Linked DNA regions of Schizosaccharomyces pombe. The gene in region 3 interacts genetically with the main gene of each other region. Each region holds a gene or a part of one and is shown on either strand. Other genes may lie near its edges.

Evidence for each region.
Region 1: of ppb1 (region 3) and pmk1, a mutation in one rescues a mutant of the other (synthetic rescue), as found in Schizosaccharomyces pombe (4 studies listed by BioGRID).
Region 2: mutations in ppb1 (region 3) and its3 are lethal when combined (synthetic lethality), as found in Schizosaccharomyces pombe (2 studies listed by BioGRID).

The regions. Positions count from the first base shown.
Region 1 is NC_003423.3:728,816-733,452, reverse strand, and holds pmk1 (MAP kinase Pmk1), read right to left. Parts: upstream 2,638-4,637; 5' UTR 2,594-2,637; coding exon 2,528-2,593; exon of another isoform or gene 2,428-2,527; coding exon 2,248-2,427; intron 1,975-2,247; coding exon 1,903-1,974; intron 1,821-1,902; coding exon 870-1,820; 3' UTR 501-869; downstream 1-500. Other genes in the region: serine/threonine protein kinase Vps15, read right to left, coding at 2,807-4,637. UniProt on the Schizosaccharomyces pombe protein: Regulates cell integrity and functions coordinately with the protein kinase C pathway (pck1 and pck2). Involved the regulation of wall architecture, cell shape, cytokinesis in exponential and stationary phase, and metabolism of ions.
Region 2 is NC_003424.3:4,070,371-4,075,536, forward strand, and holds its3 (1-phosphatidylinositol-4-phosphate 5-kinase Its3), read left to right. Parts: upstream 1-1,765; 5' UTR 1,766-2,005; coding exon 2,006-3,756; exon of another isoform or gene 3,757-3,809; coding exon 3,810-3,921; exon of another isoform or gene 3,922-3,924; intron 3,925-4,017; coding exon 4,018-4,383; 3' UTR 4,384-4,666; downstream 4,667-5,166. Other genes in the region: protein Poz1, read right to left, coding at 1-243, 281-386; trehalose-6-phosphate phosphatase Tpp1, read right to left, coding at 4,897-5,166. UniProt on the Schizosaccharomyces pombe protein: Catalyzes the phosphorylation of phosphatidylinositol 4-phosphate on the fifth hydroxyl of the myo-inositol ring, to form phosphatidylinositol 4,5-bisphosphate. Involved, together with the calcineurin ppb1, in cytokinesis.
Region 3 is NC_003423.3:2,871,664-2,876,824, reverse strand, and holds ppb1 (calcium-dependent serine/threonine protein phosphatase calcineurin catalytic subunit Ppb1), read right to left. Parts: upstream 2,904-5,161; 5' UTR 2,829-2,903; coding exon 2,690-2,828; exon of another isoform or gene 2,646-2,689; coding exon 2,439-2,645; exon of another isoform or gene 2,285-2,438; coding exon 966-2,284; 3' UTR 716-965; downstream 1-715. Other genes in the region: S-adenosylmethionine decarboxylase proenzyme Spe2, read left to right, coding at 1-592; oxa102 (translocase Oxa101), read right to left, coding at 3,698-4,927. UniProt on the Schizosaccharomyces pombe protein: Calcium-dependent, calmodulin-stimulated protein phosphatase. This subunit may have a role in the calmodulin activation of calcineurin. Appears to be involved in cytokinesis, mating, transport, nuclear and spindle pole body positioning, and cell shape.

The DNA of each region.
Region 1 (4,637 bases), 2.1 Mb from region 3:
GTTTTTCCCTTTTATTTTTCCCGTTAGCCTTTACTGGAATCAAGGTCGCCCGCCTTCTGCTTTATTTCATTGCTAGTAATGGATGCCATAGCGGCAATTGCCAAAATTTTCTCCTAAAAAAAACTGTTCCTTTTATATAGGATTTGCGCATCATGATTTGCTTTCCCAAAAAACAACGGAATCTGTACGACCTTTTTTGCAGGTATTTGTAAAGGCTTTCCCTTTCTATTGTAAAACTTCATTCGCGTCTCGAATATCATCTTACATATTTTTTCTGATTTATAAAAATATGCACATAATTTCATATTCGACCGCTTTGCATTTCATTATAAGACGCTTCTACTTGAAGAGAGCTATCCTTGTGCACGAATGTTGTTTAATTGTTGCAGGATACAAATTCATGACTGATGTATTTATTCATCTATTTTGTCTTGGTTAGTTAGTTTTGTGATTTCATTGGGATGTTCCCTAATAAAGGAAATTACTCTACCACAGATATACTCGTTCACTAGTAAAAGTAATATTTTTAAGTAATTAGCTGTTCTATTTATATATTTTTCTAGTTGTAGTACGGGTGTATATGCATGCATGTATGTATAACAAAATGTTTCAAGCTGTGAGACTATAAAGCGTGCAAGAAAAGGGAGCACAAAGATCGCCAAATATTATATGCAAAACAGTAAATGAAGGACTAATGCAAATGAGTATTTTTTATGGAAATTAAACGAGCAAACAGAGATTCGACAGTAGCCAGCAAAGCTCAAAAGATAGCAATAGCTAATTTATGTAAAAATGAGAAAACGCAATGAATGATTTGTATGCAAATGTTACCGTAAAAAGGCTCAATAAAACCAGCTGCTGCCAATGTATTAGTTATGGCGATTATCATCAGACTTATGGTCTATAGCAGCAGTTTCATTATAAGAATGATCATGGCGCTTTTTGTTAGAGGTTTGAGAGGATGAAGAGCTACTAACATTGAAAGAACCATTGTCATTAGATGGAACGGTTTGGGCTGGTTGCGGGATGTTGACTGTTGGGTTTGTTGGATGAGAGCGGCGTCGGACTTTCTGACGGAAGTTTAAAACTTCATCTAAAATGACACGGCGTAACTCATTTGCATCCTCAATGTATTCAAAGCTGAAATCAAAGACGGAATCACACACAGGTTCGTCAGAGGGATCATGCCAAACAGCTAAATAGGGATGTTCTAAAGCATCGTCAACCGAAATACGTCTGTTGGGGTCGAAAGCCAAGAGCTTAGCAAGCAGGTCAAGAGCCAAAGGATTGGCTTTAGGAAAATTGGTTTCAAAAGGAATAGGTCTTTGCTTTGGCAAGCTTCGAACATACTCCTGTGCACGGGAACTGCTTATATGAGACAGGGTTTCCTCATCAGGTGTGCCAAGTTGATGCAAAATTAAATTTAACTGATGAACAAAATCTTTTCCCTTAAACAAAGGGGTTCCACCTAATAGCTCTGCCAAAATGCAACCAACACTCCAAACATCAATACCTTTATGATAGCTGCTGAACGAAAGCATAATTTCCGGAGCTCTGTACCAGCGCGTTGCCACATACTCCGTCATAAAACCAGGATTTTCTTCTGGATTTTCAGAACATCCGCGAGCGAGGCCAAAATCGCAAATTTTCAGCTCACAATCAGCGTTAACTAAAAGATTACCTGGCTTTAAGTCACGATGAATAACGTTGGCAGAATGAATATACTTTAAACCACAAAGTATCTGGTAAATGAATGATTGAAAATGCGCATCCGTTAATGGCTGACCGGATTTAATAATAGCATTCAAATCGGCCTCCATCTATTATAATAGTTAGTAAGTAATTATACAAATATTTCCGTGACTAAAACAGACACCATATGTGGATCATCGCGTAACATACCAACTCTTCGTAAATGTAAACTTCATTAAAATTGTATGGATTTATAATGTCGAGATCGTAAATGCAAGTAATCTACCATGTTAGTAAAGTTTATAAAAAATAGGAAAGACATCACTATGCAAATGTAAGACAATGAGCAGTTCAAATTTTTTAATCAACCGAATTCCAAACATTATATCAAGATTTATAAAGGAAATACTTTTCAAGGATGATTAGAACTCATTTCTCATAGAAGACTTTTCATTGTATAAAAATTTGCATTTTCATCAAAATGCACCTCGTTAATACATCCCGGTGATGATGAGTAATCAATCACAGGAAGCCGTTTTTGCATAAAAGACTTACGTTACGATGATTACGAAAATGAATCAGCAGTTTTATCTCTCTCAAAGCTCTTTTTGTAAGAATGGATTTAGAAAACACATTCGTAATTTTTTTTATGGCTACAGCCTCTTGATCTTTGCTAGCCACGTTTCTTGCTGCACAAACAATGCCGTAAGCGCCTTGACCCAACTCCTTCACTACCTAAACTATGTTAGTTTTCCTAAAAGTTCAAGCAGATGCGATTTTCTGTCAAGTAAACAAAATGTTTTGCAAATGCAGCAGTTACCCAAATATCTCATACCTTAAAATTAGGCTCGACATACATCTCCTGGTTAAACACACGGTAAACACGATGTCGACGGTCCATCCTTGCGACTTATAGCATGCAACTTGAATTTTTAGCTGTTTGGCAAAAGGGATGTGGAAAAAACTACAGTACATCACTTGTAGTGATTAACGATGCCTTATATTTCACTATTTGAATGCAAGTCGGTTAGATTTGAAGACTATCAGATGGAATTTATGGTATTAAAGAATATGCATACAAATCTAATAAATATATGAGGAATACTAAAAGAAACTAGGTCCAGAGTTCAAGACTACCAAAAGCGTCAACAATAAGCACTATAGCGTACGGTTGGTACAAGAAGGCCATGTCAACGATGGGGTGCAGACGATTTTCGCTAGGTAGATTCTTTTGCTGTTGAAGGAATAGAAGAGGCCTTGACACTCCCGAAGACTTTGGGCGTACATTCTGTTGTTCAGAGACTTTTTGGTAGATAGGAGGTTTGTTATGTATTAAAGATAGTTTTGAACTCTCGGAGTCGTTGGTCACCGACGAACTAGCAGAGACATTGTGGGGATTCCAAATAAACGCATGAGGGCTTCCAGAAGCGGCAATGAGAAAAAGTGGCTCTCGTTCGACAGAACCTGCAGACGGACCTCTGTACCTATAGATTGGACTAGATATACAAGGCCAAGGAGAGTCGAATTTGGTATTCAAATCTCTTAATCCCATGTCATTGCCAGAATCTATATCAAACTTTTTTTTTTCATTAAAAGCATCAATTCCAACAGATACCGGAATCGGACTGGTGAGTGAAGAATTCCAGTTTTCTAAGAAAACCTCTTCGGTTTTCCCTTTTTCAACGTCAAAATTTACTATGCCTGAAGCGGATCTGTGACTCGCTGGAACTGCATCTTCAAGATTAACTTCTTTATTATCCAAGTTGGTAAGGACGCTAAAACTGATACTGACTGTAGTGCTTCCAAACGAGTTTAACATTCCGTGATTTTCTAAAGGATTGATGGGAATAGTAGAGTTAATTGGCTGAGTACTACTTGAACTTGTACTTGAGCTACCTGGAACCTTGGTAACGGGACTATTGTTATTTCCGGAAGTATACTCATTAACGTTGCTACGTTTTTTGGTAACATCTAAAAGAAGATGCATCTGATCAATCCTGGCTGGCATATGCCAAGAGCATGATAATGTCCCAAAGCGGAGGTCCCAAAGTAAGAGCCATCCTTTGGTAGTCCCAATTAAAGCCCAATTACAACCCTCAGAAACTACTACACTAGTAGCTGACCCACACTGTAATGGTAATTGGTCTGATGACAAAACCCTCATCATTCCCACGTCTAAGTATACGATGCGTGACCATTTTGTAACAACGACTAGACGGATACTCCCGTCGTGAAATGTAGAAGCTTCCATGGAGGTTACAGAATCACTGAAATCCAAATTGGGAATACGACCAGCCGAAATTAGAGTATGCCGCTGATTGTTAACGTCAAGTCTGTGAACTTCCACAGAGCCATCTTGAGTAACAGAAGCAAAAGCGTATGTATTACCTAGAAAGCATCCATTGACCACAGAAAATCTATTCCTCTCGCCATTACGTCGCGTATGCCCATAACTTAATCGGCATTCACATCTCATAGTTGAAATATGACGAACACTTTCAACTAATTGCCATGCTCTTACAACACCGTCAGATCCCAAGGTAACGAAAAAAGATGAATCTGGACTAACCAAAACTTTCTTCGTACCTCCATCAAGAAGGCTTCCTAAATATATCTGAGCAACTCGTGATCCTTCTGGATGCCATTCATGAGTCTGAACTATTTTATTCGCAGCCTTCGCAGACACCTTTGTTCTACGACGCAAAGGTATATTAGAAGCCCAGCTTGGTGAAACAGCAGCACCAACGTTAAGTGTCGAAGCCGCTGCTTCTGCATAAATTTTATTTAAATAATTTAAGACGCATGGATTAGTTCCAGTATACGATGATTTTTTTGCGCCATTTTGCCTCGTGGTAAGCTTTTTCAAATCGATATGAGTAGTAAATGATCTTTGGCTTCGAATACCGGCAACATTAGTTGTATCATTCGTTGAAACCCTAGAAGAG
Region 2 (5,166 bases), on a different chromosome or scaffold from region 3:
CTTCCCTCATACAATTTTGGCGTTCCAGTTCTATATTCTCTAGCCTCTCTAAAGCATTGCTAATAAGAGAATATTCCCAAAGAATTTGTTGACTATCCGGCTGAGTTTGGGTAATCGGAAGGTTTTGAAATGAAGAAGGGTCAAGCGAAAGATTGAAGCAATACTCAATGAATGCGATATCCATGAATATCGGCATTTTTTCATGACACATTGATTTCGAATAACCCAAATATCGTAAGCAGGCTAATTGGTTAATGATTTTCAAGATTGGCTTTCATACCGTTCACAATGGAAGATTCTTCTCTCTGCATATCATAATGATTTTCCTTGATGAAAAACGTTTCTAGTGTATTCAGCACAGATTGTGAACGAATCTTCTCATTCATTTTATGGAAAAAACTAATCTATACACGAAGGATAAAAGTATAAAAAGTTGGTAAAGTCAATGTAAGTTGGTCTACGAGATAAAATGAATACCATTCCGTAAGAGAAAATAAATCATTTAATAAAGAAATCTAAAAACGAATGGATCGAATAGCTTTGTCTACTGTTATGTTTCTTGGAACATCGTACAGAAGACGAATTTAACTCCTTAAAGAAGTGTATTTTGTTTAATGTTATAAATTATTCCCTTAAACAGTGAACTGCTTTATCCAAAAAAGCGGTAAGCAAAATTTCCAAATGAAAAAAGTATTTGAATGGAAGATCGACTTTGGCGTGACAAAAGAATAAATTTTACTCTCCATTTTAAGTCCTTCATTTTCATAACGCTATGCCAATTACCTTGGATCACGGTGGTGTTTGTGCCTTAAGACATGAAAAGCTTACGAAATAAACATGCTTTAGGCGATTGATCATTTCTTCCAAGATATTTTTCCTTATTCAATCTCAAAAATTACTCTAATTTGTTATTTGCTAGAACTAAATGATCCATCTGATTGAATGTTTTTACTACCCAAGCCTCTTAAGATTCTATCCGAAGTTCTTTATTTACTTGTGCACAAAACCCGAAGGAATGGGAAAAGCAATTATCTATCTAGTAAGACAAAAAACATTAGATACTGTCCTTTGATTATAATTTCAATGGATTCTTAAAGTTGAATATTCAGTGCTAGCTTCTTTATATTATAGACATTCAAAGTAAACTTGAGAACGAAGAAAAGGAATATTGGATATTTCCTTTTTCTTTTTGTTAAATATATATATATATATATATTTTTGGAAAATAAAAATAAATTGATATGTTTGAAATAAACGAAGTATACGTTATGTGTATCTTACTTTAATTTTTTTTAACTTTATTTTATTATTTATTTTTTTTTTAAGGAAATTTCAAATCTTTAGATTTTCAAAATAGCTCAATCATTTGCTGTACTTATCCATGCAAGCTTAATCATTATAAATTGATTAATAGAGGTTCTAAAAAGTAAGCCTTTATAAAATTGGATTTACAGCATCCAGCTCTTCACGCAACACACCCATATCGATGCTTTTGTTTACGTTGAGCAGATTCGTTTTGTTTACATTCAACGAAATCGACGTTGTCAACGACTTCAAACATCGCAAGCTTATGGACTATTCGCAATAATGGAACTGGGTTTCAGAAGTTTTTGGCTTGGTAAATTCGGGATTGCTCCTTTCCCATACAGAAAGCGATAATTTTATCCATTTACTGCCATTAGTGCGAATTATTGGAGAATGTGCCGGACAATTCGGTGAACTCCGGTGACTTTATATATCTAGGGAAGAAACTGGTAGAAACAACACTTCGCTGGTATCAAGTGTTTTGCGGTGAAAGAGTTGATAAAAAAGAGAATTAAGCTGCTCTTTTCGGTAAATTAAAACATTTTGAATAACTTGGGAAAAAACTTGCTTTTGTAGGAACTGAAAAACGACGAAATTGACGTCTTCAAATTGTTTGTTAAAAAACGGAATCAAAAATTGTGTTTGGAGTCCATTGGCGAGTAAATTTTTAACTCTTCATATATGTTTGTAGGAAACACTAATGAAAATTGATTCAAACGGCATAGTGAATCCGCATTCTATAACGAACGAAATCCCTTCGTATGATGAAAAGCAGGCTGTCGATTTGAATGGGAATGCTTTTGCTCCAAATGGTACGTTTCAAAAAAAGGATTTGATATCCCATAAAAACGATTTCGAACGTACGATGCGCCACGATGTTCTTCATACCAACCCCAAAATCGAAGTTCGGTCGGAGACCCATATTTATGAACCTAACGATTCATTATTTAAGGAAAATCAAGATTTCCCCTCAAATCCCACTGCCCACTCTCCTTCTTCCTCTTCTAACGATTCGGTAATTACGGCTACTGGCGTACCTGATGGTATCTTGAGAGATTCTCCCATCGTAAGTGCCCTCGAGCCTCCTTCCTCCAATTCTTCCTCTTCTCCCCAATTACAAAATTTAAAGCATCAATTATCCTCTCCTCAACCTTCTCGCGCCCCCATAGATCGCTCTTCCTCCAACCCTGTAACCTCATCTCAGCAGCCACCTAATGATCGTTCCACGCTCAGCTCCTCGCAGAAGGCGAAGCGGCCGCTAAAGCGATCTTACTCCGAAAAAAATTCTAGCAACGCTGAACCTTCTGGCTCGAGATCCGGCGACCGAGGTACCAACGTCAGTACCTCGGGTTCTCTTTTGGATGGCATTCCCCCCGATATTGGCTCTGCTAGCTGGGCTGAAGCAGTCAAACAAAAACGTGTTAACATGCGCCGTCGCAGGGAAGAACTGGACGATGAGTGCGTTCTCGTTGGAACTAGAGTTTCAGAGGGCCATGAAAACTATGTTACAGCGTACAACATGCTTACTGGAATTCGCGTCGGTGTTTCTCGTTGCCAAGCGAAAATGGACCGTGAGCTTACTCCTGCTGATTTTACTGCTCGTCACAAGTTTACCTTTGACATTACTGGCAACGAACTCACTCCCTCCGCCAAGTATGATTTTAAGTTCAAAGATTATGCACCTTGGGTATTTAGACATCTAAGGCAGCTGTTTCATTTAGATGCTGCAGATTATCTTGTATCTCTTACCAGTAAGTACATTTTGTCTGAGTTAGATTCTCCTGGGAAAAGTGGTTCTTTTTTTTATTTTTCTCGTGACTATCGATTCATTATTAAAACAATCCATCACTCTGAGCACAAATTTTTGCGTGAAATTCTTTATGATTACTACGAACACGTCAAGAATAATCCGAACACATTGATTTCGCAATTTTATGGGTTGCATAGGGTAAAATTACCCTTTGGCCGAAAAATCCATTTTGTTGTAATGAACAACCTTTTCCCACCTCATCGTGATATCCACCAAACTTTTGATCTCAAAGGATCCACCCTAGGAAGGGAACTCGACGAAAATCAACCTTGTCAAAGTCCCATGTGTACAATGAAAGATACAAATTGGATTCGCAGAAATATGCATCTTCAGTTTGGTCCTTTAAAGCGTCAGATATTCTTAACTCAGGTCAAAGCCGATATTGATATGCTGTCCTCTTTAGGAATTATGGATTACAGTTTACTTGTCGGCATCCATGACCTTTCACGTGGTAATCGTGACAAAATTCGTAATAGCATTCTGTCAGTTTACGACCCAAATGTGTCGCAACATCGAGTGCCCTCGATTAATGGCAATGAATCTCACTCAAACGTTCATGTAATCAGACAAGTCGTTAATAGCACCGGTCCTGTTTCGTTGGATCAATCTTGTAATCTATTGCCGACCGACCAGTTCGTTGAGTAAGTGCTTATTATTTTTTTAACAATTAGACTATTTTTTAACACTATTTTAGGAGAAGAAACTTCATGTTCTACAGTGATGACGGTGGATTCCAAGCCACCGATGAAAACAATGAGCCAGGAAACTTTATCTTTTATATCGGAATAATTGACTTACTTACTAAGGTATGATAAATTGCGTAAATTTTTTTATGGGAATGCAAAGTCTTTTACTTGTTTTCCTTGTTTGCTTTTATTTTCATTATACTTACCGGTGTTTAGTATTCATATGTTAAGCGCGTTGAGCATTTATGGAAGGGCATTAATCATTCAGATTCTGTCATTTCTGCTGTTCCACCTGCTGAATACGCTTCACGCTTCTACAAATTTGTAGAGTCAAGTATTAAGCCAACTCTTTTAGTTTTGAAACCATTCCCCTTAAAACCGCAGGATGGCCAGCGTGTTAACAAACAGCAAAGCGTTAATGCTGGCAATGTGCGCACTAATAACAAGCATGGTTCTCTTAATAATAATACAGCTCCTTCTTCTCGCAATGCTAAAAGCACTTCTGCTCATAAATCACCCAAAACAGAACACCGATTTCCATTCCCATGCCGCAATGTTACTACGAACACTTCTTCATCTTAATAAATTTTAATGTCTTTGAAGTGCACATATTTCAAGTTTAATGCATTTATTTATAATGCTTTACCACCTTTTTATTCTTGTATATATTGGCTAATTTATCTTTTTATTTTAGAGAAAAAACAAAGCAAAGCATGTATGCCGAAGTGCATTAACGGATGCACAACCTATAACTTATTGCTCTAATTAGCGCTTTTATTATTTACATCTCAAATAACTTATGTTCGTCAGTTCCTCACCAATCTTTGTCAAAAAGCTATATTATTATGATATAACTTAAAATTCATTAGGAAGAAAGTATGCTTTTGTAACGAGTAAACGTATGTACTTAGAAAAGAGCGATTCATAGTAGTGGAAGTAGTTCAATTACGAAGACCTCTCAACTAAACATAAATAACTAGAGCATAAATTAATTTAAAGGCTGAACTAAGATCCAGGATTGTGTGTCTCAATAAATAAATCTTTGTAAAGAACAAGATGAATCGGGCATCTTCGTTGAAATAGTTAGTTTGTCATTCAGTTAGTAAAATTTGCCAAATCAGCAAGGATATCAATAACATTTGCAGGGTCTGCGATACACCAGTCGGCGATAGAAAGCTTTTTGTCGGATCCAATGGTAACTGCAAATGAAGTTTCCTTGTTAATACGAGTGTTTTTATGCAAAGAGCGGAACATATCTTCATCAGTTCTATCATCACCTGCACAAAAGATAAAAGAAGGAAGTGAATCTTCTGGATACGAACTTAAAATCTGTTTGACAATTCCTCCTTTGTTGATACTGGAAGG
Region 3 (5,161 bases):
TTATTCTTTACTGGAAGATTCCCTTGATCCTGAAGATGAGACCCTAGAGGTACTCATGACTGATATGTCTCCCGAACGCTCGCTTCAGTTTTACGCTCCATCCTTGGATGTTGTTCGGAGCGCTAGAGGTGATGACTATGTTCGAGAAAAAAACAATCTCTCGGGGGGTCACATCCTTGGCAGTTATGTAGCTGATGAATCGGGTGTTAGAGACTTATGTAGTACCTCTGATAAAAAAGCAGTGCTTGATGCTTTTCAATTTGAGCCAATTGGGTTCTCGTCGAATATGATTTACAAGGACCGCTATGCCACAATCCATGTTACGCCTCAAGAACATTGTTCTTATGCTTCATTTGAAACAAATGTTTCGCAATTCCAATTCGGAAGATCCATATCTGAAACAATCGAAAAAACTGTTAAAACTTTTGGTGCAAACAAATTTTGTCTTACCCTTTTCCAGGCTAAAGGTGCGTCTCAAGAGAAGCATTTCTCGGCCAAACTTAAATCTTTTAGCTCTTATAAGCGTGAAGAATTTATAGTGTATGACTTTCCTGGATATGATCTTATATTTGCCAGCTTTACTGCAGTATAAGTTCGGAGAACAGTCAGCTAGATATTTTAAATTATCTGTTGCTATATTTATTATCATTCTTTTTTACGGTGGAGCGTGCCATGCGAATACCCCTTTTTACAATCTTTCATTATGCAAAAAGTAGTCGTCTTTTGTTTGCTTGTTTTATAAAAGGTTTCATAGTTATGAATACCAAAAAGTTTATTATGAATATCTAAATGCAATGCTTATGTATCTAGTCATCGGTTATCTTGTATTATGCTAAAGTAAACTCATTTGCTTTCTTTATTTTGAGTGTTTAGATATTTGTTGTAAGTATGCTTAAAACCTCGGATCAGGTTTATGCTCATTGAAAAATTCCAACTAAAAAACGAATATGCGCAGGTTTTGGTATCTACAAAGAGCTTTTCTTATCTGCAAAGCGTTCTACCAAATGATCGATAGAGGTATCATCTTCAGACGAATTCATTACTTCTTCGAAAGCCTTTAAATCCGTAGAACGTCGACGGCTATTAGATGGCGGTAAACGTTCATTTTGGATATCCAGCTTACGAGCATCATCGAAGGAATTGATAGCATTTTTGATACCCTCAGCTCCCAACATTAAAGTACCCGCAGGTAATCTTTGCGTACCTGACACGTTTTTCAGTTCCGAAACACTTTCCCGTTCTTCTCTAAGCACACTGAATACTCGAGAGATACGGCCAATAGCCATAATCTTGTTTTTAATAATTTGCCTACGAGCTTCAATATCAATTTCTTGGTCGGCTTTATTTTCATTCTCAGATGGAGCAGGCTGTTTATGCTGAGTCGGAGCCGATTCTTTCAAATCCGTTTCATAAAGCTCCTCCTTAGAACATATATTGAGCATTGAAATCAACATTTCAGAAACTTTTTCGCCCACAAATGGAAGACTCCAAGTAAAAACATCCATAAAGTTAGGAAGCCAGTAAGGATGAGGGGAACAATTAAATTGTCTTATATTCATTACATTATTTTCGTATTTCAAAACAGCAGCTTTATTATTGTAAACATCCAAATAGTTGGGTGCTGAAAATATGGTCATCAAAGATGGAAACCCGGTTGTTTTAGTTTTGCGATACATTCGATAGCCCACATCTTGAGCTTCATGAGCACGAATAACGGAGAGGAGATTATTGTTTTCTAAGAAGGTGCAAACAGCTTGGTAACTATAAAAGTAAGAACAGCCACGAACATTATTATGAATAAAATGCTTGTTTGATTTTTCCGATCCAAAATCTTCAAGGGGATCAGACCAGAGTAAATCACACATCAACCCATGAGTTGGAGGCTCACAAAAACGATTGATCATTCGTATATCATTCAAAGTATGTAGTTCGGGTGATAATCCACCATGTACACATAAAAATTGCTTATTCATAATAGCTGCCAAAGGAAGGGCATTAAAAGATTGTAAACAAGCTTCATAAACTTTAATATTATACTTATGAGTACATTCTAACTTGAAGGTAAAATAGTCAGTAAGATGAGCGCATTCGTGATTGCCACGAAGCAACCAAAGCGTTTTCGGATACCATATTTTCAAAGCCCACAAGTACAATAAACACTCAATTGAGAAATATCCTCGATCCACGTAATCTCCAAGGAAAAGATATTGGGTATTTGCTGGATTACCTCCAACTTCAAATAGTTTCATAAGATCATAATATTGGCCGTGAATGTCACCGCATACTAAGCTGTCAGACCGAAGAATATTGCAATACAAACAAAATATCGACCCAAATTAAAATGAAGGAAAAACATAGTCATAAATTACATTTCAAAGTTCTAATATTTTACCTTATAGTAATTAGGGCCTAAATATGAAAGGTGATAATCAACATACCAGTGACAGGTGCATCCACCTCAATCAAGTTGTCTTCTGACTTCAAAATTTCTGTAGCCTTTTTTATAATATACAACGTTTGTTCCTCAGATAAACGGCCTTCCCGAATGAAATGATTGCGAAGAAAATGCAAGTCAGGTTTATCAGGTTCATTAATATCAAAAAACTCCACGTCCGTCGGAATATAAGTTGCTGGTGCTTGAACATCTTTGATTGTTAATAAGACTAATTTCTTTCAAAAATATCCGTACTTTTCACTACTCTATCCAGTGTGCTAACACTAGAGCCATCTTCTTGAACAAATATTGTAAAATCATGAGAAGGAGCTTGATTTTTTTGGCGAATTGCTCGAACTATTGGGTCTTCTAAATTATGAGGACCCGAAGTCATATTAGTAACTTTTGCAAGCCTATATACAGCCTGGGTAAAATGCTAGATATTCTTGCAAAAAGTTTTGGTAGATTCTGGTTTGTTATACTTACATCGTCCCGGCGGTTTTGGAAAATGGTTTAACGAAAAGCAAAGAAATTCGTAATTGCTTTTCTCAATGAACCATGTGAACAAAAAACATATCTGTTTACAATTCTAAGTACTTTTTTTTTTTTTTATAATATAGATATATTTCATCATAATCTTTACTTCTGTATATTTAAAAATTTACAAACAATCGCCGCTTAGACAAACATATCTTAATAACCAATCGTGTTAGTAATAAGAAATGAACTTGTAGAAAGGGAACCCAAATACTACCTGAATTCCTTCCTAATTATATTGCCTTGCTCATTTTTGAGAGAAGCAAACTAAGTTGATTTGATGAAACTTACATTCCATGATTACCTAACTGAAATAACGATAGTTTTATTGATAAAATAAATATCCATAAAACACTTTAAGAGTTAATAATCATTTTATTTTTTGTTTAGACGGCTACGTCAAATTTTAGGTTATTGTAAATATTCTTTGATTTCTCATCGCTTTCCGTAGTAAAGAATTAGACAAAAGCGATTTTTAGAAAGAATAAGCAAAATAAATGTAAATTTGGGTATTTTATTAGAAGTAAAGGAAATAGAAAAGAGTGTTGCAAGTGTGAAGATATATGCAAAAACTAAAACATATGTAAAATTATGGGATAAAGCCAAAGGAAAGAAATGAATAATGCAACAAATGTAAAAAATTAACCATATCTTACAAACTTTTATGCTCTCAATAGGACATTGGAACACTTCTAAGAAAGAGAATTCCAAAGCACACAAAAAAGCTTAATCTTTCTTCTCGGTGGGTTTGGTAACAGAAGAGGACTTGTCATTTTGAGAATTATCAGATAGCGTAGTAGCTTTGGTAATTGTACTATTATTAGTAGGTTTTTGCTCATTGTTTGTATCGGTTTTAAGGAAACGTGTAGCATCTAGTATTTCAGAGGCTTGTGGGTATTTACCTTTTTCTTGAACCCCATGGACAATATCGGTAAATGACTTAACAAACGATTCATTTTGAGCGTTCGGTACTGGCATAGCAGATGGGACTTCTGGTAAGCCAAGTTTATGCCTTATGGTGGATGAACGCAAAAATGCCCCTTGAAATACACTGAAGACATTGCTAGGAAACCAATACATAAAAATTGCCATAGGAAAATTCATAGTGAATAGTGGACTGGCAAGGCAAAGAAATCTAAAAAATTTTTTCATTGAGGGAGACATAGCAACCTTATTACTTCCAGTTTCGCTACCAAGCTCTATATTGAGCAGCATAAGAAGGCCGTTTGCAACCGGAAATATGTGTAGAGGATCAGGCTGGGATAAATCATTAACCCACCAAAAACCACCATCAGTGAAACCCTCTACAGGTACACCCGCCATTGTCTTCAACGCGTAAAAAAAGCTAATAAACAGAATTCCCTGAAATACAGGAGCAGAAAGCAAATTCAAAGGGTTAACATTGTTAACTTTATAAAGGTTTTGGATTTGAGTGGTAGCTTGCATCATTAATTCGCTGTTTCCTTCAGCCTTTGCTTTACTCAACACACTCATGTGTTCAGCAACCTTTGGGTTAATGATAGCGAGCTTTGCGGACGTTTTCATCATCTTTAACATAATAGGAAATACTGCAATTCTCATAGCAACAGCACATGCAGCAATTGAAGCCCACCAAGGAAGGCCGCTCCAAATATGAAGCGTATTAAGGCCGTTTTGGAGGATATTATGAGGTAAGAAAGAAAAAGATGCTAAGACGGAGGACGACAATGGCAGACTAGGAGTGTAAACCACTTTCTCGGACCTAGATTTGGGGAAAGAAGTCGAAGAGTTGTGAATTTTTATTAAGGAAGAAGTACGCTGATTTCGGCCAAGCTTAGCAAAAGAGAAATTCTTAAAAAATGTATTATGTGTGTGGATCTGGCGAATCTTCGCTCCTTGTGTAGCAATCAAAAAGCATGATACCGAGTAATGAGATTTCGAAGAAAACTTTATTCCTCTTCCAATGACTGAAAACATGCTTGATTAATAGTGAAGCTCGAACTTCAAGGATATATGTTTTTACAAATCGAAGAACCAGCTAATGTTTATCCAAGATACCCAAAAATAAAATGAAGCGATTAAACCCAAAAAAACATATAAATAGATCCAAAATCCTCTAATAAAAATTTAATTGCAAGTTAAAAGTGGGTAAATTAACTGGTAAAATAACCTGAAAAGGTAGTAGAGATATTGAAATTTAGTTGTGTGCGC